Xenopus tropicalis: one gene and its partners. The protein of the gene in region 1 interacts with the protein of each later gene in a biochemical or structural test. Links are inferred from orthologs where the notes say so. Each region holds a gene or a part of one and is shown on either strand. Other genes may lie near its edges.

Region 1 (4,239 bases):
ATGAAAGTTTAGCAAAAACTGAGGGATATTTTCTGCAAGTCACCCTTTAACTTAAAATCAGGAAAAAGACAGTTTGACATTTCTGTCAGAATTGCAATGGTCTATGGACTTCTTGCATGCTGCGTCTCACCCATATATGATCAAGCCTCTTGTGACTGCTACACAACGAGGAGTATTAAAACCCAAAAAACTTTTTTTTGCAAACTGGAAAAAAAAAAAATCTAAATAACTAGAAATATATATTACACATTTTTTAACGATGGTTTTAATGTTATTTGTAAATGTAATTGTAGTTTAAAGAATCAACTGTGGTTATTAAATTGCCCAAAGTTTCCTAGCAAGGAAACCCTTTCGTTAAACCAAAGCAACACGTATGCACGGGATGGCAAGTCGGGGAGACTTATCTCCCACAGTGCCATCCCACAGGCTAGAATGTAAATCGCCGGTGGGATGGCATACGTGTCACTGCAATGTCCCAAAGTCGCATGAAGTTTCCTGTCATGACAACTTCAGGACATCTCAGTGACTCGTATGCCATCCCACCGGTGATTTATATTCTAGCCAGTGGGATGGCATTGCGGGGGAGATTAGTTGCCTGCGACAACGAAGATTTGACACGGGGCGACTAATCTCCCCGTCGGTCACTGCCCTAAGGGTGAAGACACACTGAGCTACTAGTAGCAGCTACTTGTCACAGCTACTAAACTTCAAAAAAACCCCTGCCATAGAAAAAAATGAGAATTGCCTTTACTAAGGGCAGTGGCAAACTGGGACATTAGTCGCTTGCGACAAATCTTCGTGCGACTAATCTTCCAGCAATGCCATCCCACTGACTAGAACGTAAATCGCTGGTGGGATGGCATACGAGTCGCTATGATTTGCCGAAGTCACCCAAAGTTTCCTCTCAAGGACTAATCTCTCCATCTGTCACTGCCCTTAAACACACGTAAAGACGATTATCAGTAAATTATCAGCATTGTCTATTTCAGTAGCCACGACAAGTAGCTGCTACTAGTAGCTCTGTGTGTAGTAGCTAGCAGCTGTGTGTTCACCCTAAGGGCTCTGGCACACAGGGAGATTAGTCGCCCGCGACAAAACTCCCTGTTCGTGGGCGACTAATCTCCCCGAGTTGCCTTCCCCTGCCCACATGCGGTGGCGCGTTTTCACACAAATCGCCGAAAAACCCTCGCGAGGCAACTTCGTCGATTTGCGCAAAATCGCGCTGCCGCGTGTGCCATCCCACCAGTGACTTACATTTTCGTTGGTGGGATGGCAGGGGAAGGCAACTCGGGGGGATTAGTTGCCCGCGAACAAGGAGTTTTGTCGCGGGCGACTAATCTCCCCGTGTGCCAGAGCCCTAAGGGCTGTGACACATGGGGAGATTGGTCGCCTGCGACATCCCACCGGCTAGAATGTTAATCGCCAGTGGGGTGGCATATGCGGCACCGCGATTTGCCGAAGTTTCCTCTCATGCCGGGAGCAGACAGGGCGCCATGCCGGGAGCAGACAGGGCGCCATGCCGGGAGCAGACAGGGCGCCATGCCGGGAGCAGACAGGGCGCCATGCCGGGAGCAGACAGGGCGCCATGCCGGGAGCAGACAGGGCGCCATGCCGGGAGCAGACAGGGCGCCATGCCGGGAGCAGACAGGGCGCCATGCCGGGAGCAGACAGGGCGCCATGCCGGGAGCAGACAGGGCGCCATGCCGGGAGCAGACAGGGCGCCATGCCGGGAGCAGACAGGGCGCCATGCCGGGAGCAGACAGGGCGCCATGCCGGGAGCACTCAGGGCGCCATGCCGGGAGCACTCAGGGCGCCATGCCGGGAGCACTCAGGGCGCCATGCCGGGAGCAGACAGGGCGCCATGCCGGGAGCAGACAGGGCGCCATGCCGGGAACAGACAGGGTGCCATGTTGGGAGCAGACAGGGTGCCATGTTGGGAGCAGACAGGGTGCCATGTTGGGAGCAGACAGGGTGCCATGTTGGGAGCAGACAGGGTGCCATGTTGAGAGCAGACAGGGTGCCATGCCGGGAGCAGACAGGGTGCCATGCCGGGAGCAGACAGGGTGCCATGCCGGGAGCAGACAGGGTGCCATGCCGGGAGCAGACAGGGTGCACACAGTAAGCTGGCACCGTGCATGGCCTGGCATTCCCCTGGGCACCAAGGCAGCTCTTTGTTCAGATATTGAGCATGGTGGGCCGGAAACTGAGGCTTAGAACCCGGGTCCCCTTCCCACACTGACACCACACGGAAGGTGGGCGGCAACATGAGCCGCACATTCAGAGCAGGAGAGCTGCAGGCCTCCCGCCTCTTTCTTTCATACCTGAAGCCAAGTCTCCGCTGTTAGTGGCCACCTCAGGCGCAGGGGTCTCTGGCGGAAGGCAGGCCCGGCACACGGAGTGCAGGCACGGTAAGAGCTGGGGCTCCGTGTCCGCCCGTAACTGCTTCTTGCACACCCCGCAGCTCTCCAGTAGCTCCTGCCCGTCGGGCTCCCCGCTGCCTCCGTTGCCATTGTCGGTGCTCAGGACACTCCGCTTGTCACGCGTTGCAGCTACCGACATGTTGGGGGTGTTTTTCTTTCCCTTTGTGAGGAGCCTGCGCAAGAGAAGACTTTCCCGCCTCTTCCGAGAGACTCTATTGTTCTGCTGGCTCCCGCGGCCTGCCTGCCTGCTGTACCGAACTATCGCGCAAACAGCGGATGGATACGCACGCACGGACGGGACGTCCCCAACAGCAAAGCGCCGAAATCCTAGCGGAGCGATCGATTCAAAAAGTGCATGCCCACTAAGTGTGATGTCAGGAATGGGCGGGGCATGGACTTGCTGAGTGTCTTAGTAAAGTGCAGTTAAATAAGAATTACATTTTATTTGTTTTGTGTGATCTACTCCAGTGTTTTGTTTTTTTTTACTAAGGGGGATTATTTCTTATATGTCTGTGCTGATTTGGGCCATTAGCAAAGCTTTATTAGCCGGTAGAGCAGTGGTTGTCAAACTTTTTGTTCAGGCCCCCCTGATTCCTGAGACAGAAATAGGAAAATATTGGTGGATCAGTCATTCAGGCATAGATCAAAGAATATCTTGCCCTCAACCCTGGGCAATAGTTTCCACACATTTAGATAATTACTTGACTTACCAATCAAATGATTATTTTGTATGCAATATGAATAAGTGCTTGACTTTCCCTAGATTCCTCAGGCTGCAGGGTTCTAAAGCAATAATTAGAGATTTAGAGAAGAAACATTGGTCATGCCTCATTCTCTCATATAAAGATAGCTAATATACTTGTAACCCTATTTTGGCTACTATGGTACTTTTAACACGCAAATCACCTGCGTGTGGCGCTACAGGAGCCCTGAGCCCCCGCTTATCTATGGGGGAGAGGTATGATCTAAATAAATGGCGTGCCTTCACCCAGGGTAGGTATAGGTAGAACTATATATCTCCTCCCTGGGAAAACTCTATGATGTCCTCCTTGGACCAGGATTCCCAGCAACTCCCGGTACCTTGCCCCTCCCTTGGGGTAGCTGCTTACCAGACAGTTGAGGATCCTCAGTATATGAACAGCCAAGACACTGGTTAAAATGATGAACCAGATGAACTTGCTTTATTGTTGATGCAGGCAGAACACTTCAGAGGATGTCACACAGATGGCTCAAGTCACACACTCTCTCTTTTGGCTACCCCCGGTACTCCCACCAGGTGATCCCACCTAGGAACTCACCCCGGTCCACGCGTAGGGCCCCTTCACTGGGAACACTCCCAGGTGCTGACTTGGCTCCTCTTACTAAACACTACAGGACCTGGACTCCAGCCATGAATGCTGGGGGGTCTTAACCCTTCTCTCTCCTTTTGGGGCTATCTCTGCCCATTCTCTCTAGCCTGCCTGTCACTCTTAGAGTGACCTATTACAGTACCTCCTGTACTAGAACACTATCCTGTTGTACACCTCCTAACAGAGGCAGTCCCAGGACTAAGACCTAACAGAACATGTCTGCATGCCCTTTTATATTGCAGCACACTGCCACTTAGTGGTTGCTGCTGAATAACAAGGAAACTCCCTTTTAGCACATAAACACACAGGACCACCTTTAGGGCTCTGGCACACGGGGAGATTAGTCGCCCGCAACAAATCTCCCCTGTCACGGGCGACTAATTGCCCCGAACTACCATCCCACTGGTGAAAATGTAAGTCGCCGGTGGGATGACACGCTGCGCAGGTGATTTCGGCAAATCGCCGAAAAT
Region 2 (4,001 bases), on another chromosome or scaffold:
ATCACTGTAATCTGTTCCTTCAAAAAGTATAAACAAATACCATTTTTATATGCTGAAATCCAGCTTCAAAACAGTTACCTTTCTGCATCATTTGAAATCCTGGTGGGAGAGGAGGGACTAAAACATTGATGTTACAAATAGTAACAAGTTCTCAACAGCTTACAGACAGCATGCAAGAACTACATAACCCACAATGCACTGCACTATGATGTACCATTGCTTACTGACATCACGTCGGCAGGGGATTGTGGGATTTGGAGGTTGCAGGTTAAGAACAGTCGACTACTTTAACAGCCCAATAGGCTTGTTTTGCCTCCAGTAAGGATTAAATTATATCTTAATTGGGATCAAGTACAAGGTACTGATTTATAATTACAGAGAAAAGAATTACAAATTAGAATTATTTGCATATAATGGAGTCTATGGGAGTTGGCCTTTCCGTAATCCGGAACTTTCTGGATAATGGGTTTCCAGGTAAGGGATCCCATACCTGTATATTAAAAATCATGAAATTGCTGCATATTTTTTAATTGATGTATATTACAAAGTTACTCTTTAAAACGCTTAAGTTGTGTTTGGGTGGAGTTCCACCTTAAGTTGCAAAAGCAACCTGAAATAATAAAGTCATCAAACAGTACATAAGAGTGAAAGTTAAGAGCAATTTCACTCAGTTATCTTAACCCCTTTGTGGTCAAGTGGTAAACAGAGATGTCACCTGCCCTTCCAAAGTAGACTGTGTACAGGGGCTTTTTTATGAACACTGGCCAGTAACCTATGGCAACCACATTTTTGCTTTTCATTGTTCAATCTGCAGTCATGGATTGGTTGCTATGGGTTACTGCCCATGTGGAAATCTGCCCACTGTTTATACATGTTTACTGTTTATATACATAAGATGTCTACAGTCTAAGAATAAAGTATACAAAGGCACATTTAAGCCCACATGTCCAGCCTGTGAACCTCCTGCTGTTCAACTACTACTCCCTATACTCCAGCAGACTTTATCTGGGAGTCTGGACTAAAGGTGGCCATACACCGTAAGATCCGATATTCTCTCGATAGGCCCCCTACGAGTGGGTGATATTGGGCTAATTCAACTTAGGGCCAAACAATTGAATTAGAATGGTGGGCATAGGCACCATCAGTTCAGAGACTGCATAAACGAGCCGACACGGTCCCCAATTCAATGTAAATATCAAACCTGCCCGATTTCAAGTCAGATGTCAGTTGGGGCCTGTTGTTGGTGCCCATGCATGGGCAGATAAGCTGCCAAATCAGTCTAAAGGACCAATATTGGCAGCTAAAATTGCCCAGTGCATGGACACCTTAAGATTCATAATAGGCCCTGGTATTTGACATACACGGAGGCCCAATCCCCTCCACTGGCCCAATAAATAGTGACTGTCTACCACACCTTACTGCAGCCCCTCTGGCATTTGCCAGAATCTACAGAATTGCCAGATGGTATGGTTATAGGTTAGCATTAGTGATTACACCTAGTAAGCTTGCTGTGTTGGCATGCAGGTGTGAAGGTTATTTAAAGGAATGCCGTTGCTTAAAGTGTATTGTCATATTATAAATACACGTTCCCTTTCATTTCCCTAGGGACATTTTTCATTTTCCCTAGGTAGCAGCCTAGCTGGTTGTAAGCATAGTAGTTTTTAAGCTCCTGCCATAGACCCCCTTCAAGCCTCATGTAAGCAAGGTATTTACTTTATTTACAGGAGGTGAGATTGATAGAAATGCCTAGAGCTGGTCTGAGTGATGTCTGAAGCCATTTTGCAACGCTCTTATTTGCGTTGCATGCGCCCCCCTCCAAGGGCAGAATTTCTGAATATAGGCACTCTTCATTTAACAGAAAAGTGTGGAATTGCTGCAAATAGCCTTAACCTATGGAGACAACTGCATAGAAACTGCTTTTCTGCTTCAAGTGATACCAGTAAGTTATGTGCCTGGTGTAAAGCTGCTGTACTGCGTGTTGCATGTATTACCATTTCCATAGCCACAGGCCATGGTTTTACTTGGGTTAGGGATGCCCAACCCCTGGCAGACTGTTCCTGCTGAACTACACCATTCTGACCTGCTGGCTGATATGTGCAGACATAGCTCACAGCAGCTGGAGGGGTGCAGAAGAGCAGACGTTCCATATGTGATTGCTGACACACAATGATGATGGAATGAATGGAGGACTCACATCAACATCCAGCTGTTGTACTACACCTCCCCCAACTGAACAGCTGGATGTTGGCCATGCCCGATATCTGTATACAGAGAATATACAACAGAATCATGCCATACAGGTTTTTATTGTATAATAGTCCAATAGGACCAGCCCAGGATACAATACCAGGGGGAGAGAGCAATGGGTATTGCCCAGCGCTGTCTGTAAGCCCCAGGTAAGTACCTAAGTTAAGCCTCGCACTGTCGCTGCCCGGCTACACGGCTGAACGGTACAACACGTTCCTCCCAAAGTTTGCGAATGACCCCCAAGCTTCCGCCAATCAGCAGCGCCCCTTGTCTCCCACATCACTGTCCCTGTCTCCCACAATGAAGCCGGGGCACCCCATTATTCGCACAGTGCCAGCAGCAGCACCTCACACAGCCAATGAATGGGAAGGGCCGAGGAGGGGTGGGAGGCAGCGAGTTGTACTCACCTTCCTGCGCGAAATACACCGTGCGCCCACCGAAAGCTGCTCGCTAGCAGGAATTGAGTGAAGGCTCTTACCGAGCGGTACTGTGCGCAGCCAGCGACCAAACCCCGCCAAAAACAACCCACTAGACGCATGCGCAACACCGCCCTCCAGCCTAAAGGAATGCCCCTCCTCGGGTACACACTATGCCCAGTCCGTGCCATACTGCAGCCTAACCATTCACCAGAATTCATAACCAAAGGTTGAGGCCCTATAAAATGTAATTTCAATGGCTAGAACCAAATCTGCCCGAACTTCTATAAAACGAGCACCGGGCCAGTACGGAAATCTCTGTATAAAATATGCACACCGATAATCACTCGCCCAATGAGAAAACGGGGCGTACCAGCACCTCACTTAGGCCGGACAAAAGGACTGACTAAACGTACCCGATTTCTTTTCCCCTCCTCCTCAACGTCTTAACCAATCGCTGAAGTTAAACGTCACGCTAGTTGCCCAATCGACGATGCCTACGCAGACAGCGACCAATTAGGAGGCAAGTGGGCGTATTCTGGCGCACTAAATATACATTGCCATTGCGCTATAATCCCCCACTCTTCCTTCCTGTCGCTTCTCTTTTGTTTCTGCTGTTGTTGAGTTAACATCGGGGAGAGTCACCATGCACAAGTCCGAGGTAAGGCCTAGCGCCAGTGCATAATGCATTCGGTTCTTTTTATCATAGTCGTTTAGTTTTACGCCTTCTAGTTATGGGCATAAGTATCAGTAGGAGTGTTGGCGCCTTTTTGGGCCAGGTTTTTTTTTGTATGCTGTATATATGAGAGTGCTACGGTAGGTCAGGCTATATTAGATAACGACTAAATTATGTGAATAACATGTAGGCCCTGGCTGGGGATTTTCTTTAGACGCCGAGCTGGAAGCTTTGCGTAGAGTTCCTTTGTCTGACTCCATTTTGTGCGCTCCACCCTGCGAGGCGCTATGGTACCGCCTATTTTCTACTCGCTTAATGGCGGCGCTGTGGCCCGTAGCTGGAAGGCGCCTTTTCTCTAACGCCACACATGATTAGGCCTCTCCTTAATACATATTAGATATTCTCTAGCAATAAATAAAAGAATACCTCTCTCTCGGATACCGTACAAATTGGTAACAGAAAGGCAAACTTATTCCCGGATTTGTAAAAACGCGTGTTTTCAGCTTCGATGTTCAGGCTAACAATATACTTATTATTCTCGCTATTTATGGCTTCTACACATTCAACTTAAATGAAACCTGTTCCTATAGAAAAAAATGACCCTTATGGTATCGCGGTGGGGGAGGGGAAACTGGTGATTCACCATTTTGGTGAATGGGTTG
Region 3 (3,709 bases), on another chromosome or scaffold:
CAGAGTTCCCTGTATAACTCAGCCTGCAGCCTTGTGCCTTTATATGGTCACAGAACCCCTCAGTGACTGCTAATATCCTTATCATTTACAGTAGGGGGTACATTATCCCTTATAATACGTGAGTGATACTCAGAGTTCCCTGTATAACTCAGCCTGCAGCCTTATGCCTTTAGGATCGGAAAGGGTTAACCCCCATGTAAAGGCTGGAAACAGAAGGGAAGGCAAATAATTCAATAACTATAAAAATAAAATGAAGACCTATTGAAAAGTTGCTAAGAACTGGCCATGCTATAACATACTAAAACTTATCTTAAAGGTGAACTAACCCTCAAAACAAGTTACATTTTCATCTCTGGCAATACCAGATTCACAGTGATGATTCTCTATCTGCCTGGCAGAGACTCACTAAATAGATTTGCCCCTCTCAGGGCAAGTCCTGGCCGGGGGGGGGGGGTTCCTTGCAAGCAGGCTCTGGGCACAGCAAACAGAGCGACAATGAATTATAAATCTAAAAGTTTTATTAGGACGACAGACTGACAAAATGCTAAGAATTACTTTACATTAAAACGAAGTTTGCACAAACCTAAAACACATGCTTTTTTAAAAAAAACAAAAAAAAAACCTGGAAAAAAAAAAAAGGAAAAAAACTACAAATCTGACAGTTTATACAATGAATCTGTATGTAGTCACAGCGTGATGGCAGAGACCCCGGGGCCTCAGCTTGAAGGAATTCTGGGGAAGTGTTAGAAAATGGGATCAGCACCTGTTTCAGCTTCCTGCCTGCCAGGACACCCGCCCCCCACCCAGCAATGAGATTCCCATAACCGTTCTTATACAGGGTCCCCAAAGAGCCCCACGTGGCGAGTTCCTAGGCAGAAGGATCTGCAGCTACCTGTTGGACTGTCTTTCTTCTTTCCAGGGTGACAATGATATCGAAGCGCTTTGTCCCCCCTCCCGCCGTGGCCTCACCGTCTCACCCACAGACATCACTAAATGGACATGCTACTCAGTAAAAATGCAGAGTTTGTAACACTATCGGGAAGGAGGAGGAGGAGGAGAAGCTTGTAGGATGCAGTGTCCCCTGTGCTAGGTTCCTCCTGTCCACGTGTCCCCGGATTTCTGCCGATAATACATACCAAATATTCAGGACAGACTGAATCCTCCACGGCTCTCCCCCTTCCTCACTCTGGCGTGAGTGACTGGCGTATACATCTCACCCGCTAACTGTGGATCGTTGGTGAATTGTTGGGGGGCACTTAGTTTTTCTCGTCTTTCTTGTCATCTTCCTCGGAAGGGTAAGAATGCCACGTCAGCCGCTCCTCGTAGAACGAGATCACCACCTGGGGGCACTTAACGTTGGCTTCCTTGGCCGGGACGAGGTCGGCTTCGTCTGAGTTTTTCCTGTGGGGGAGGGGGATGTACCCATTGCTGCTTAGCACTGTATCCCCCCAAATAAGGAGCACACCCCAATGAGCATGCACAGGATTATGTTTAGGGTCATGCAGGGTTCCCAGAAGCAGATACACACTGGAGCCAGTCATATCTGCTACATGACTGATGTAAAGGTAAGTAAACCCAAACTTCAAATGCAATACACATTTCCAGTGGTTTTAAAGGGGATGTTCACCTTCACACAATAGTCTGAAGTTGTTTTGAAGCTACCGATCGTTGCTGCTAAAACTCTCTCTTTGGAAGGGATCTCCAACACCATTCTGGCTAAACAGGAAGTTGACACTGAACTGGTTACAGAGCACGCCTTCCCTCTGCTGCTTTATTTGCATATCTTTGAAACCATTGGCTGGCAAAATTCAGCCAATCCGATCAATTTAATGCAAATGAAGCAGGAGAGGGAAGGCATGCTCTGTGGCCAGAACACAAGTTGGTGTCCGTGATCCCTTCCAAAAAGAGAGCAGAGAGAGTTTTAGCTTCAGACTATTGTCTGAAAGTGAACATCCCCTTTAAAGTTGCAAATGACCTAGGAGAGGTGTAGAAAGGGACCCCCCCCCCCCAAGGATCTCACCATTTCATTAGGAACATCAGCTCTCCGCTGGAGTCTGTGGCACCAATGATTCTCTCCGGTTCCAATCCGCGTGCAAAACCACGTGGTTTCTCCACCTGGAATGAGAAGGAGGTTATGTTACGTGGCTACTTGTGGTGGTGCCACATCACTGGCCCCAAATACCGAGTGAGCTGATGGTTTACAACTCAGCCGACACGTGGGAAAACTTCTGTTCTTTGGGGTGCTCACAAGGTAACTAATTGATTTGTACTAGACCCTTCCATGTCCAGAGGCCTGTGCATATCACAGTCTGCTGGGAAAAATAAGGTAGTCTAGGACTTCAAGTCGCTCTGCTTTCCTGAAGTCCCAGAATCCATCACTTCAACATGGAAAAGGGATTTAAATGACTGTCAGCCTAAAGGGGTGGGAAGGACGGATCTTACGAGTCAGACTATCATGGCTTCCTCCCAATCTGTGGAATTAGGTTTACCTGTGTAAAAAGGACAGTATGTATGTATATGTATTTCTCGATATTTAGTTTGTCTTTATTTCTACAGAAGTGTGAGCTCCTGTCATTGCAGGGGGCATTTTCCCTTTAAAAGCAACTGAAAAGCCATTTGACTCACTTCATCCTTCTTCTTCTTGGGTTTGCTCTCCTCGCCGACCTCGGTGTCGGAGTCAGCCTTGCGCTTGCCTGCCTCTGTTTTCTCCGACTCGTACGCGGATTTTTGCGACTGCAGGAACTCTGCGATGAGATCGGGACAGTCCAAGTTCTCCTCCGGCTCCCAGGTGTTATCGTCGCTGCAAACAGCACAGGGATTCACAGAATTCTCTCCCCCCCACAATAAGACCCTTCATCCAAACTGCGCAATGTTGCTTTGCAACTGCAACCAAGTTTCTTCCGCATTGGGAAGGGGCCGGGCACGCCAAGCTGCAGGGTAATATCTAATGGGCACGGCCGGCACTAAAGAGAATATAGTGGCCCTAGTAAAGGACCTGTATCGCCCATGTCCAAGATGAAGCCCTCCAGCCGTCACTGAAATACAACTCTCAGCTCAATCCCAGCCTCAATCACCGGTTGAACTATCTTTATCTATTTAGGGTGTTTTATTTAAAAGGCAAGTCAAGCCAAAATATAATTTTTGCCCAATAAAAGAAAACATAATTCTAAGCAGCTTATTTGTATATATAATTGCTATTAGAAGTTGCATTTGTCCTTTTCTATTCCCTGCTTTGGGGGTTCTGACTTTTGAAGCAATAAAAAAAACACAAGGCAGCAGCCTTGCTGACCTTTGCCGACAATAGCTTTTTGGCTGCTGGGGTCAGTGACCCCCCCCATTGGAAAGCTGGAAAGAGGCAAATAATTCAAACACTGCTAAAAATGAAGACCAACAGAAAAGTTGCTACAAATATGACAATTGTACTAAAAAAAAACATGAAACATATTTTTACTGTCGAACGTATGATTTTCTCTGTGGCAGCTCCTGGCAGTGGGCAAATTTAACTCTATAAGTGCCAGGCTAAAGCCCCTTATCTATAACCCCTGCAGCCTTAGTGGTAATTACAGGGTTCAGTAATTGGTTCTGCTGAAGATACACTACTATGGGTCAGACCAATTGGCCTCTGAATTGCTCAGGTTCCCCCAGTCACATGTGTAATACTGGGTACCCCTGTGCAGGGAGCCCTCCATACACCCATCATAGAGGCATC
Region 4 (4,183 bases), about 65 Mb from region 1:
GACCACAAGATGGTCAGAAAGCTATCAGCAGAATGTTTTGTAGCAGGGATTCTGTACCAGTTAATTTATGAAGCCCTAATAAGAAAGGTCTCAGTGGAGGTCACCACAAGTGTCCAACATAAAAAAAATTTGTGTATTTATTGTCTAATGTCCATTGGTAAGGCTGTAAGAGGAGAATGCTATAAATTTATCAAACTCAAACTAATTTTTTCTAATATAGTAAGGATAATTCTGTTATAAACTAAAGATTTTGCTAGCATGGTTATTTCTTTCTACTAGGCACAACTAGGCCTATAACAAAAATAGGCATCTTTACCTATACAGGGCCTGGGTGCCCAATCACTTGAGCTGGCATGAGATGCACCATCATCATCTTCACTGTCACAAGAATGAAAGCCACCAGCAAGATCATCATCCAGATGGATACCCGCTGTAAAAGAATTCAGCCAAGGGGTTTAAAACAAGGCATTTTCTGAAACAAAGACTGCACCAAGAACAACGTTTTCTATCCAATACACAAGTACATTTTTGTCTTTGTGGCAAAGATAACACATTTTGTAACAATTTAATAATCACTCTCAGTGAAAGGGTGTAAATGAGTGATGAGTGGGGTCACAAAATACACTTTTTCCTGGAACTCAATCTGTTAGTGACGTCACCAAGGTGGAGGCTCACAGAAAAAGATGATGGTAGGTATAACAATACCAGCACCTGGACCCACCAGAACCAGCAACCCAAACTCACCTGACCAGAGGACAGTTGATTTACACATCACTAGTGGAAATTTTAAATGTTTCGTCCACACCTCCTGAGTTGTTACTCATTGTGAGCAAAAAACAATGGGAACTGCCCTGTGTGCAGTGCTGATAATGGGAACTCATTCCCCCAAACCCTAGCACCCTCAACTAGCCTCCATTAGCCAACTCCCTGCTCCCATTCCACATGGACAATTATGCTAAAAAAGATCACAAAATGAGCAGATCTTCACCCGCTGGTCATAGGTGCTGTCAGACAATGCATCCCCAATCAGAAAACCACACCTGTCCCATCGAGATCTGGACAATTTAAGACTGTCAGTCGTGTAGGCCTGAAGGACCCGAATCGGAAGCTGAAATACCTGTGTATGGCCAGCTAAAGTGCTGCCCCAGTAGTATGGAGGCTGGAAAAGCACAGAGACAGATCAGGGAGTGGCAGTGAACTTGGCTCACCACCCACAAATTGCAACCCCTGGGTTATGCAGGTTTTAGGTCGACCTGCACTGTTGTGAAACCTCCATAAAAATGCAGAGTACCGTAGAGGAGATCATAGGTGCCATCTTCTGTTTCTTCAGATCCTCTTCATGCAACAAATCCACAATTTTTAGGATCCGGCCAAACCCTGAATCCTTTGCAAAAGATTCGGCCGAATACGGAACCGAATCCTAATTTGCTTATGCAATCTTCAGAATCTTGCTGAAAATGGCCGAATCCTGTATTAGATGCATCCTTGCACTTCACAGAACCTCCTTGCACTTCTTCAGAACCTGAGCAGTTGGAGCTACTCTGGGATCAGCTTTAACTATGCATGTCCCTCAGGCTCTGTGTCAGCAAAGTGAGGATACAAAAAGTGATGACTGTGACTCCCGTTACTCTGCATTTAATGGCAGGTTCACACACATGGACACTTTTAAATGTAACTTTGTGGGGCTAAAAGAGGCCAGTTAAGGAGCTGTTTTGGGGAGGCTGAAATTTCCTTCAGGAAGGACCCTTAAGTTTCTTTATCCTACCAGTACAAGGACAGTTAATGAGCTCTATACAGCCTATGTGTAGATAGTTAAGGCCAAGAGAAGGCAATAGCCTCCCTTTTGGGAAAAATGCCCTGAAGGGAAGAAAAGTAGTGATGTGCCTACATTTTAGCCACATCCAAGCCATTCACAGCCTGGGTTTGTACATGTGTAGTTGAGTAAAGCTCTTTGACTTGCCTGCTGTAGGGATTCCAAAGAGAAGGTAAGTGAAGATTTTACCCTGGGCTGGTGCATTTTTTTCTACAAAGGAGCAGCGGCCCAACTATAGGGTGTAAGCATAACTTTTAAGCTTTCTTGGGCAGGGCTCTCTTCACCTGTTGTATCAGTTATTGATTGCTTTATATGTTACTCTGTATGTCCAATGTATGAAACCCACTTGTTGTACAGCGCTGCGGAATATGTTGGCGCTTTATAAATAAATGTTAATAATAACTCACTCACATATACCATTGCTAATGTTTTTAAATGGAATATATGTTCAAACTTGGCAAAAGCACCTTCATTTGTATGGGTCAGTATTAGCAAATGGAAGGGAGAGAGGAGTAGCACTCTATACCCACTGATGCGCTGAATCGCCCACATTACTGCACTGAAGAACCTCCAAACACCTACAGAATATGCCCCGCCCAATGCCGCTGTTAGTAGGGAAAGAGTTAAAGGGAACCAACCTCCGTAATCAACAGCCTGATCCGACAGGTCTCCATTGGGCATCTCCTCGGCTCCGCCCTCCTCCTGGCCTTGTACCAAATACGTTCCCAAAGGAAGGCCCTGAAAGCCCGAGCCATTGTGCGCTCTGGATTTGCTTTCCATTGCCGAAGAGGCCTCGCCTTCCTCCTGGAGAGAAGCAGCTATAGGCGGCAATGCCGCTTTTCCCTCGCTTTCAGCCCCCACAAGCTGGCTCCCACCCCCGCCGGTATCTTCCAAGCGCTGCCTTTTGGAAAGGGGCTCGCCATTTTCTTTTGAGACAGCTAACACAGCGCCGGCAATGGGAAAACCTACACGATCTGAGTCCGCCATCTTCCCACTGCCAGAGAAGGAGTCGCCCATCAGCTGTACGATGGAGCGCAGCGAACCACGTGATACACCGTTTCCTATTGGTTCCCCGGCCGTGTGACGTGTACAATAACAAACTAGCCACTCGCATGGTACCTGGGGATGCGCTGGCACCGCCACAACGAACGGAGAGGGTGTTGGAAAGCGAAATCGGCAATAAAGTGTCATTTTCAGGGGTGTGTTGGTGTGGTGATTGTCAAGCCCGCAAAGCCTGTTAGCAGATACAAAAGCCAAAGGAGAGGGGCATTTTTTATAGTCCGTGTAAAAACTTTCTCTTGAAGTTGTCTCATGTCTAGGGGGAAAAGAACTGGGGAGATGCTGAAACCATTTTGGCGTCATTAATCAGTGTAGGTTAATAATATTTGGCTTAAGCATCATTTTTAGAAGCTCTGTGCATAACACATTTGTGGATGTAATTTGCCGAAATTGCCTTAAGAGGAAACTTGGGGCGACTTTGGCAAATTGCTGCGCATTGTATGCCACCCCACCAGCGATTTAAATTGTAGCCAGTGGGATGGCATTGCGGGGAGATTAGTCGCCCGCGACAAGGGAGATTTGTCACTAATCTCACCATGTGTCCCTGCCCTAAGGGGAAAGACACATGGAGCTACTAGTAGCAGCTACTTTTTCAAGGTTACTAAACTCCAGAGAATCCCCTGCCATAGACAATACTGAGAATTGCCAAAAAAAACACATAGAGACGGTTATCAGTAAATGATCAGCATTGTCTAATTTAGTAGCCACTACAAGTAGCTGCTACTAGTAGCTCTGTGTGTCTTCACCCTAAGGGCTCTGGCACACGGGGGAGATTAGTCGCCCGCGATAAAACTCCCTGTTCGCGGGCGACTAATCTCCCCGAGTTGCCTACCCCTGCCATCCCACCGGCGAACATGTAAGTCGCCGGTGGGATGGCAGACGCAGCGGGGCAATTTCAGGGAATCGCCGAAAAAGACTCGCGAGTGGGATGGCAGGGGTAGGCAACTCGGGGAGATTAGTCGCCCGCGAACAGGGAGTTTTATCGCGGGCGACTAATCTCCCCCGTGTGCCAGAGCCCTAAAACAGAATATGAACAACTAGAATGGCTATAGAGCAGTGCTGCAGTGCCGAGGGCCGGAATTTCTCTAGCATACGTGGTGGAGGGCCGCTAATGGAAGCCAGTTTTGACCACTCCCCTTTTTGAAACCACACCCACTTCAAACCACACACATTTTATCACAATGGTGGTAGCACAGCAAAATCCCAAATGCTTGGTGCTTACTGTGGGGATATCAACCATCATTCATATGTGAAAGAATTATGTCATATTAAGATATACCCTTAAATTCCATATGCCTCCTCCTCCCCTGT
Region 5 (4,256 bases), on another chromosome or scaffold:
AATGTAGGATATTGGGGATAGAAGCAAATGAGAGAAAAGTATCATCTTGTATTATCTGCTGAGAGACATATTGGCTGCCTTGTTAATGATGTAATTGTTAACCATAGGTTCATGGGCAGCAACTTGGCATTAAACTAATACAACTAGAATCAGGCTAGGAAAGGCTACATATTGCAGTTATATTACCAGTTCCTTTAAGAATCTAAGCTAAACTGTGCTTCAGGACATTAGCTTTATACATCCCCTAGAGACTTTATAATATGCAGGCACTTCCACCCACCCTTTTAGCCGTACCTGTATGGACAGCCCAGCTACGGAAAAGGCACGCATCTTTATTGATGTCCCATCCATGTCTAGCAGCGTGTTTCCAAGGGATCTCAAATATCATTTCTTCCTGCAGAAGAGAAGATCTGCTTATTATCCTCCTCCAAGGAGCACTGATGTTTATAAACAAGTTGCTTTGATAGCCAAACCACTATATAAAATATATTCTCATGCGTACAGGGTTGCCATCTGGCCAGTATTTTACATAATGGCAATGTTATTCACAAGGCAGATTGATTAAAAGAGATAGAAAACGTTGTTAACCATAAGTATATTTGCAATGTTTATTATGCAGAACTACATCTCTCTAACCCTAAATCTGCCATTTATCACAAAGCAAACAGAAAATCCTTCCCAAATGTCCTAAATCACTTCCCACGCCCACAGAATTCTCTAAATGCTTCAGTTATTTTAGTAGGGAGAAACCTTGCAGAATTTTCTTTTTCTTCTTTGCTAAATATACTCCATAACTGCAATTGTTTTTACTAACAAAGATGTAGATGTAAGGTTGTTAACATTAAAGTGACAGTAGCACTAAAACAGGAGCTATCCTTTTATAAACAAGCGCATCACAGCGTTAACTGACAAACATAATATAGAAGTTCCAGGCTTATACATGTGTTGTATGCCACTGCTCTAAAGGGAAAGTTCATGTATACATGCCCTTACCTTGTTGATCCATGAAAGTCCAGGGATTTTGTTGGAGTTTATTTGCTCCTCTAGCCATGGCCTCATCCGTAAACGTGTAACGGGCATTATTTCTGCAAAAGAAAAACACACAAGGTCATTTTTCGCTGTCAGTGGGGAATTCCATTCTTTTTTTGAAATCTTCATGCTTTGTATGTTATTTCCAAACTGCCCTGGGATGACACCAGTAAAATTACTTTATTACTATTCATCACAGATCTCTTCCTTGAAGTTTTCAACTATGAAATATGGTTCTACAACAGTTGCCAAAAGTTGCCTGTGAACTGGCAAAACCAAACGGAGTGCTAAACTCACATATAAAATACTGCATAATAAAATTAAATTTCCATCAAAGCAAATAAAACTCCCAATGTGTATTTTATTATAATGTTCTCATCCAGCCAAGACACCAATTTCTTTTCATTTTTTTGCACTTTTTCATATATATATTTGGAATTACAACTCCTATTCCTATACTACTATTACTACTGGCTTAATCAGTGCAATGAAATATAAAGACTGTATTACATGCCAGTGCCACCTAAATGTTTCCCTTTGAATCTAAGACAAAACTACAAGCTTTGAGAATATAAGTGGGAATACTGCCATCTTGCACAACACAATGCTGAAAGCTGCTGCCAAAAGCAACATGTGGAGCTTCACAGAGCTGGGTTGTGCTGCTTGAAGCCACAAGAAGATAGCAGGGATAGTTACGCCCCCAAGCACTGGCTTACATCCTCTGAAACGCAACCTAACTGGCTGCTGTGTTTTTTTTCCTCTGTGTTTTTACCGCCAGCATAAAACGGACCGCCCTGATCTCTGCTGCTACCAAAAAAAAAAAAATAACATTTTGCTGTAAAGAAACAAATGAACTTCTGCACCACAAACACCCAGACCACAAACAGTTAAACCTCCCCGCATGCACATTAAAGACAGCACTTCTACAGTGCAAGGAAGAGTGACCCACAGCTCACAGCTGATGCAGAACCTCTTTGGGAAACGAGCAGTCACGACACACAGACTGAGCTGCATTTTTACTCTTTAGATACTGAATTTAACTCCTGTTTGCATGCAGAGATATGCAGTCTGTGCCTCTGCCAGCATCACAGGACAGGAGTTCAGCAATAGCTGGAGAGTCACAAGTTGCAGAAGGATCAGCACAGAGTCACAGGAAACATTTATATGCAGTCTCATCATACAGTGCAAACTTTCCCACACTCCATACTAAAAATGTATTTTTTTGCCCTATCTATACCAAGGGGTCAGCCTTGTCTTCCATTCTCCTATGCCTTGCTGCTTTTTAATTCCAACTTCCTCCTTCATTGGATACAGAAGCAATAAGGAATACATAACAGCATGATAAAGTGCCCACTGCACACACAGCAACATCTACTGGCTGCTGATCTGCTGTCTAACTATCTAACTTAGCCTAATCCTGATCTTTTATCATTAGCTATTCCCTCAGCCTAATCCTGATCTTTTATCATTAGCTATACCCTCAGCCTGACCCCCATCTTCTATCATTAGCTATACCCGTCAGTGCCAGAGCAGAGGCAAATCCCAATGCATTGCACATAATATGCCAGGCGATCATCACCCCGAACATCACCAGCCTCCAGCATCAGATTCTATCATGTTTCGTGCATTTAAAGGTCCTTTTTTTGTTCTGCAGAAGCAAATGAAACGATGAAGTTTACCTTTCTAGCAGGAATTTGTAATCCAGAGAGAAAAGGGGCGACGTGAATTAGAAATATCTCCTAAACGAGCGATTCCTGGAGAGATGTTTCCCTGAGAGAGCCTGAGTGACTTTATTATGTATAGCGGGGAACCCCAGGTATTAGTTTGTTCGGCCCGCCCACTCCATGTGTTTTGCTGCGCCGCTATTGGTAGGGGCTGGGCTAGCAGCTCGGCATCATTTCGGGGAAATCAGGCTGTTGTACAGTAGTGCGGAGAGAGAAAAAAAAAAAAAAAAAGAAGGGGGAAGTCCGAGCCTGAAACTGATATCCCAGCTAATTACTGGCCTGTGCATTGCAAGGAATGGGATGGGAGTTGCAGTAATGCTGCACCTTGTGTTTCCCTGAGTAAAAACAGCGGCAGCAGCAGCTCACACCTTCACTACTCACTGTAAATATCTGTGGGAAGTGTGAGCAGGTGGTGTTTGCAACCTGTAGGAGTACTTTATAGGAATTAATATACATATATGTTTTACTATTTATAGTTGCATGGAATATATATATATATACACACACATATGTATACACACACATATATATATACACACACATACAGTGGTGTGAAAAACTATTTGCCCCCTTCCTGATTTCTTATTCTTTTGCATGTTTGTCACACAAAATGTTTCTGATCATCAAACACATTTAACTATTAGTCAAAGATAACACAAGTGAACACAAAATGCAGTTTTTAAATGAGGGTTTTTATTATTTAGGGAGAAAAAAAATCCAAACCTACATGGCCCTGTGTGAAAAAGTAATTGCCCCCTGAACCTAATAACTGGTTGGGCCACCCTTAGCAGCAATAACTGCAATCAATCGTTTGCGATAACTTGCAATGAGTCTTTTACAGCGCTCTGGAGGAATTTTGGCCCACTCATCTTTGCAGAATTGTTGTAATTCAGCTTTATTTGAGGGTTTTCTAGCATGAACCGCCTTTTTAAGGTCATGCCACAACATCTCAATAGGATTCAGGTCAGGACTTTGACTAGGCCACTCCAAAGTCTTCATTTTGTTTTTCTTCAGCCATTCAGAGGTGGATTTGCTGGTGTGTTTTGGGTCATTGTCCTGCTGCAGCACCCAAGATCGCTTCAGCTTGAGTTGACGAACAGATGGCCGGACATTCTCCTTCAGGATTTTTTGGTAGACAGTAGAATTCATGGTTCCATCTATCACTGCAAGCCTTCCAGGTCCTGAAGCAGCAAAACAACCCCAGACCAACACACTACCACCACCATATTTTACTGTTGGTATGATGTTCTTTTTCTGAAATGCTGTGTTACTTTTACGCCAGATGTAACAGGACACGCACCTTCCAAAAAGTTCCACAAGGTATTTTCTCAAAAGTCTTGGCAATCATTGAGATGTTTTTTAGCAAAATTGAGACGAGCCATAATGTTCTTTTTGCTTAAAAGTGGTTTGCGCCTTGGGAATCTGCCATGCAGGCCGTTTTTGCCCAGTCTCTTTCTTATGGTGGAGTCGTGAACACTGACCTTAATTGAGGCAAGTGAGGCC
Region 6 (4,005 bases), on another chromosome or scaffold:
GCTGCATCTACCTCGGGCTGGTGCTGTTCTCTCCGAACAGTGGCACCAGTCAGGGATAAAAGGTAGGCGATTTAAGTAACTTGGGGGTGCCCAACATTTTGGCACCCCCAAGTGACTTTGCCTTTCCTTCTCCTTTAAGTTACCAGGAGTGACTTTTGCTGCCCCTGGTAACTTGCCAGGCTCTGCCGTCTGAGGCGATAGGTGCAGGGGCACAGTTACTGTGAAGCGAGTTTAAAAACTCGCCTCAGGCAGCAGCACCCCCGAAGTTACCAGGGGAGGCAAATAGCCGCTCCTGACAACTTTAGGAGCCAAATTTCTGGTTTTTAAAAGGGAAATTTTGCTGCACTATAGCAGAGATTGCCATGGCACTCTCTACACTAGCGATGTGGCATGCCTGGACCCCCTCCCGTGCTGTAAAGGCATGGTAGGAACCTCCTCAGGTGGCTCAGGGGCAAGAAACACCCCTGGATAGGTGCAGTGCACTTGCATCTAGAGAATAGGTTCCTGACACTCTCATATTAAATGGACAGAATTTTTTTTAGCGCAATTGCATCTAATTTACAGCAAAGTTTGCCTGAAATTGCACTTGGCAGACTGCCCTGCACTTGTAAGCATAAATATTTTCTGTGTAGGTGATGTGACTGCTCAGCTGCCAGTGTATACCTAGAACGTCCAGATGATGAAACGCATACACTGGACAGACAGGGGAGTGCCTTCGTAAAATACACGAAAATGGCGGCCTAGTGAAGTGAAATATGTGTCAATGCCACATATTTCAAGCATTTTTTTTTTTTTTTTATTATTTGCAAACAAAACGACATGTATCAGTCAGACACCTACACGAGGAGCGACAGAGGCGGGCGGAGCCTGGGACCTACCTTTCAACACGTGACTCACTACTATTAAATATATAATTCGGGTTTTCTTTTATCATTAAGACCCTGACTTCATGGGCTCTTCAACTACACCCGTGTAGATTGTACCGGAATTGACATTAACTGCCCTCAAGGCAGGCTGTCCTATTTTGTCAGGGTGCCGCTTCCCTTAGACCCATGGTATTGAAAGAGTTACTGTTCGCGCCAGTAAATTCCCCGCCAGTGTGTTGGTAGGGCCCATTGTTCTGCGCGTCACTCGGGCCCTCCCACTCCTGCGCACATCGGAGCTGCAGGCAGCCGCGGCTTGGAGAGCGTTTCTCGGTGTGAGGGGGACGGAGCAGGAGTCACCGGGTGCTGGTTATCCAAAGAGAGTGAGGTACGGGGATGAGAGAGAGGAATGTTGTACCCGGGGGCATGAGGAGGGAGAGGAGCAGCATGGGAGAAGCACGGCCCGGCAGGGTTGGGGAGGCGGGAAAATTGCTGCTAGTTTGGGAGAGAAGCGGAGGCCTGCTGCAGAGTAGCAGCACAGACCAATGGGTGGGAGGCATTGTGTAAGGGCGGGGAGGCCGTTCTGCAAACATACTGCCTTGTCTTCAATTGCTGCTCACCGCTACCTGGGCTTGTTGGGAGCTGTAGTTCAACGGCAGAAAAAGTCACAACTTTCTATTTCACGTATATATCTTGCCGAATGAAGAGCGGCCCCCTAGCACTTATATGACGCTAGCAGTGTTAGTGGTATTCCGCCAGTATTCCCATGCCCGGTGCAGCGCACAGTAACTCTCACATAGTGCTAGGATGGATACCCCCTGAGTTTCTCTGTATCACTGGGTTTCTTTACAATGAAGCTAATGCTGTTCGGTACGGGGGGTGCGCAGGCGCGAAGGTTCGTGGCCTCTAGGTGGTTAGTAGGGAAAGTAAAGGGTATACAGGGCAATGGCTACCCGGGCTGGACAATCATAGGGAAAGCTCGGTGCCGCTGGTTATAATGGTTTCCAACTGTGCCATGCAGTTTCCCCTGCGACAGTCTAATCTCTAGTTTCCGTGAATGTGTGTTCCTCATCTCCCTCCGGAATACATTCGGTTAATCAATCATGTTGCGGCTCATTCACATGTACGCATGCGTGTTGGAGGGGGTGGGGGATGCTTTTGCTTTCCGGCTTGGGAGGTGAAGCGGCGTAAAACTTTATCTGGATGCACGTTGCGCAGAGCTGCTTTCACGCTAATGTTGTATGGGGGGGCGGGGGGGTTATGGAGTCTCGCACGGCAGTCACAGCAGAAAATTCCTGCCTTTGTTTCTGGTATGGCAGAATTTCGCCTCACGGCAGACCGCTTTCTCATTTCAAGGGACAGTGTATCCCGTGTTTATAGGATTGGCTTAGTGATAAGGGCGTGTGCTGAAAGGAGACTTATCATAACAAATTAAGAATGTACTAGTGAATTATACTTTAAATATAGAAGGATTGTGCTTTAAAATAGTTGTTTCAGACTGATTTATTGAAACATTATACACAGACCCCTCTAGTCCCGCCCATCTGTTCCACTTCCTGCAGGCTGAAATCTCTGGATGTGCAGGGGAACCACTGGCTCTTGGCACACTGCACTGTAGGATAGGAACCTACGCTAGGCGGACCCAATAGGGAACTGAAGTATGTCTTTGCTTGTGAATTCAACTGTTAGGATACTCCCGCCCTTCATTTGAAGCACAGAAGACTGATAGGATCTACATGGAGCTCCAGTAAAGGAGACCTTTTTACAGATAGGATTAATTTTTAGCCCGAAGTGACACCAGCACCATATAGTATTCATAAGTGCCTACAAAATTAGGGGTTTTTCCACTTATCCAATGTCTCATTGAACTTCATTTTTCCCTGTGTTAATTATTTATATTGTTTTATTCTTCTTTGCACTAAACAGGCCAGAATCTTCAGGTAGTCACTTAGAGGTGTTTAGATTAGTCCTTTTTCTGGAGCAATGAATTGCCTTTTGAGTGCTGAACCTGTTCTAATAATCAAATGAAAAACCAGTCTCTTAAGGTTTGGGATAATACCCCATAGTTTCCAGTGAAATTAAATCTCAAGAAAACCTAATTGACAGAGGTTAGGTTTTTATTTTTATCTCTGGAATAAAAATGTGCCAGCCTAGAGCTCTTTAAGTAGCAGTGATACCACAATACTGCACTTTTCCCTGGAATTCCTAGTGTAAACAGACTAGCACAAGCACGGTATACTACCATTGGAAAATTTTTATTAAACTGGACATGTGCAAGTTTGTGCTAGGAATCCTTGGGTAAAGTCTGGCACTTTTTGTGAGAATAGTTGGCCAAAGAAATAATTTTCTAACTTATTGGCACCCTTGTGCTTTAACATTATAACTTACTACATAGCAGGGAGCTAGCACCTAATTGTAAGCATAATACAGTTTGTGTTGGGATAATTTTGATAAGGCTGTGAAAAAGTGGTGCATATTGTCTTTGGAATGGTGCTCACAGTATTAGGGGCTGTTCCTTTACAGAAGAGGAGTGTTTCTATTAGGTTAGGTAGGATCAAGCATAGCAGCTATCAGTGGGCAGTGCTGGCACGGTGTGTACTGTGCTAAGAACTTGTACTGTATGTAATCAGGGAGCAGGAGGCTGGAAATTCTCTCATGTGACCAACAGTCTGAAGTGCCATTTTACACTAATGTTAACAGGAAAGTTTGAAATGGAGAGTACTAATTGCATATACAATTATTGGTTTATATTGATAACTACTGTATTAATAATGCATGTCTTGTAACATATGTTTCTGATATCTAAATGTCTCTTAAAGGGGTAGTGCACCCCAGTGAATAGGGCTTGTGCCAAATGCACTTCTATCTTATTTAAGAAAAACATTCTTGTGATTTCTTGTAGTAAACTGGCACAATCTAAAACAAAGTTGCATTCTACTTCCTGGCTGTATAATTAAGGTCAAAACAGATCTGCGTTCTACTGCTGTTCCTTATCTCTGTCTTACAGGCTGCAGCTGGGCAAGGAATCTTAGTGGGCAACTGATTTGTTTTGACCTTGATTGTAGGGACGGGAACTTTGAATGAAAGGGAACCCAAATGAAAATATCTGCTTTTGTTTTGTGCAAGAAATCTCAATTGTACC

The links.
Region 2: the proteins of trim28 (region 1) and cbx5 form a complex in vitro, tested with the Homo sapiens proteins (6 studies listed by BioGRID, with this or other methods). The link is inferred for Xenopus tropicalis from reciprocal best matches to the Homo sapiens genes TRIM28 and CBX5.
Region 3: the proteins of trim28 (region 1) and cbx1 form a complex in vitro, tested with the Homo sapiens proteins (3 studies listed by BioGRID). The link is inferred for Xenopus tropicalis from reciprocal best matches to the Homo sapiens genes TRIM28 and CBX1.
Region 4: of the proteins of trim28 (region 1) and sirt1, one has a biochemical effect on the other in vitro, tested with the Homo sapiens proteins (2 studies listed by BioGRID). The link is inferred for Xenopus tropicalis from reciprocal best matches to the Homo sapiens genes TRIM28 and SIRT1.
Region 5: the proteins of trim28 (region 1) and irf1 form a complex in vitro, tested with the Homo sapiens proteins (2 studies listed by BioGRID). The link is inferred for Xenopus tropicalis from reciprocal best matches to the Homo sapiens genes TRIM28 and IRF1.
Region 6: the proteins of trim28 (region 1) and cbx3 form a complex in vitro, tested with the Homo sapiens proteins (2 studies listed by BioGRID). The link is inferred for Xenopus tropicalis from reciprocal best matches to the Homo sapiens genes TRIM28 and CBX3.

The regions. Positions count from the first base shown.
Region 1 is NC_030683.2:102,982,378-102,986,616, reverse strand, and holds the start of trim28 (transcription intermediary factor 1-beta), read right to left. Parts: upstream 2,801-4,239; 5' UTR 2,560-2,800; coding exon 2,322-2,559; intron 1-2,321. UniProt on the Homo sapiens protein: Nuclear corepressor for KRAB domain-containing zinc finger proteins (KRAB-ZFPs).
Region 2 is NC_030678.2:145,616,582-145,620,582, reverse strand, and holds the start of cbx5 (chromobox protein homolog 5), read right to left. Parts: upstream 2,801-4,001; 5' UTR 2,655-2,800; intron 1-2,654. Other genes in the region: hnrnpa1 (heterogeneous nuclear ribonucleoprotein A1), read left to right, coding at 3,310-3,324. UniProt on the Homo sapiens protein: Component of heterochromatin that recognizes and binds histone H3 tails methylated at 'Lys-9' (H3K9me), leading to epigenetic repression. In contrast, it is excluded from chromatin when 'Tyr-41' of histone H3 is phosphorylated (H3Y41ph).
Region 3 is NC_030686.2:11,718,020-11,721,728, forward strand, and holds the end of cbx1 (chromobox protein homolog 1), read right to left. Parts: intron 2,801-3,709; coding exon 2,626-2,800; intron 2,116-2,625; coding exon 2,021-2,115; intron 1,402-2,020; coding exon 1,257-1,401; 3' UTR 501-1,256; downstream 1-500. UniProt on the Homo sapiens protein: Component of heterochromatin. Recognizes and binds histone H3 tails methylated at 'Lys-9', leading to epigenetic repression. Interaction with lamin B receptor (LBR) can contribute to the association of the heterochromatin with the inner nuclear membrane.
Region 4 is NC_030683.2:38,239,829-38,244,011, reverse strand, and holds the start of sirt1 (NAD-dependent protein deacetylase sirtuin-1), read right to left. Parts: upstream 2,801-4,183; coding exon 2,452-2,800; intron 431-2,451; coding exon of another isoform or gene 317-430; intron 1-316. UniProt on the Homo sapiens protein: NAD-dependent protein deacetylase that links transcriptional regulation directly to intracellular energetics and participates in the coordination of several separated cellular functions such as cell cycle, response to DNA damage, metabolism, apoptosis and autophagy.
Region 5 is NC_030679.2:36,218,882-36,223,137, reverse strand, and holds the start of irf1 (interferon regulatory factor 1), read right to left. Parts: upstream 2,801-4,256; 5' UTR 2,709-2,800; intron 1,086-2,708; 5' UTR 1,081-1,085; coding exon 994-1,080; intron 395-993; coding exon 295-394; intron 1-294. UniProt on the Homo sapiens protein: Transcriptional regulator which displays a remarkable functional diversity in the regulation of cellular responses.
Region 6 is NC_030682.2:41,663,558-41,667,562, forward strand, and holds the start of cbx3 (chromobox protein homolog 3), read left to right. Parts: upstream 1-1,205; 5' UTR 1,206-1,251; intron 1,252-2,099; exon of another isoform or gene 2,100-2,123; coding exon of another isoform or gene 2,124-2,173; intron 2,174-4,005.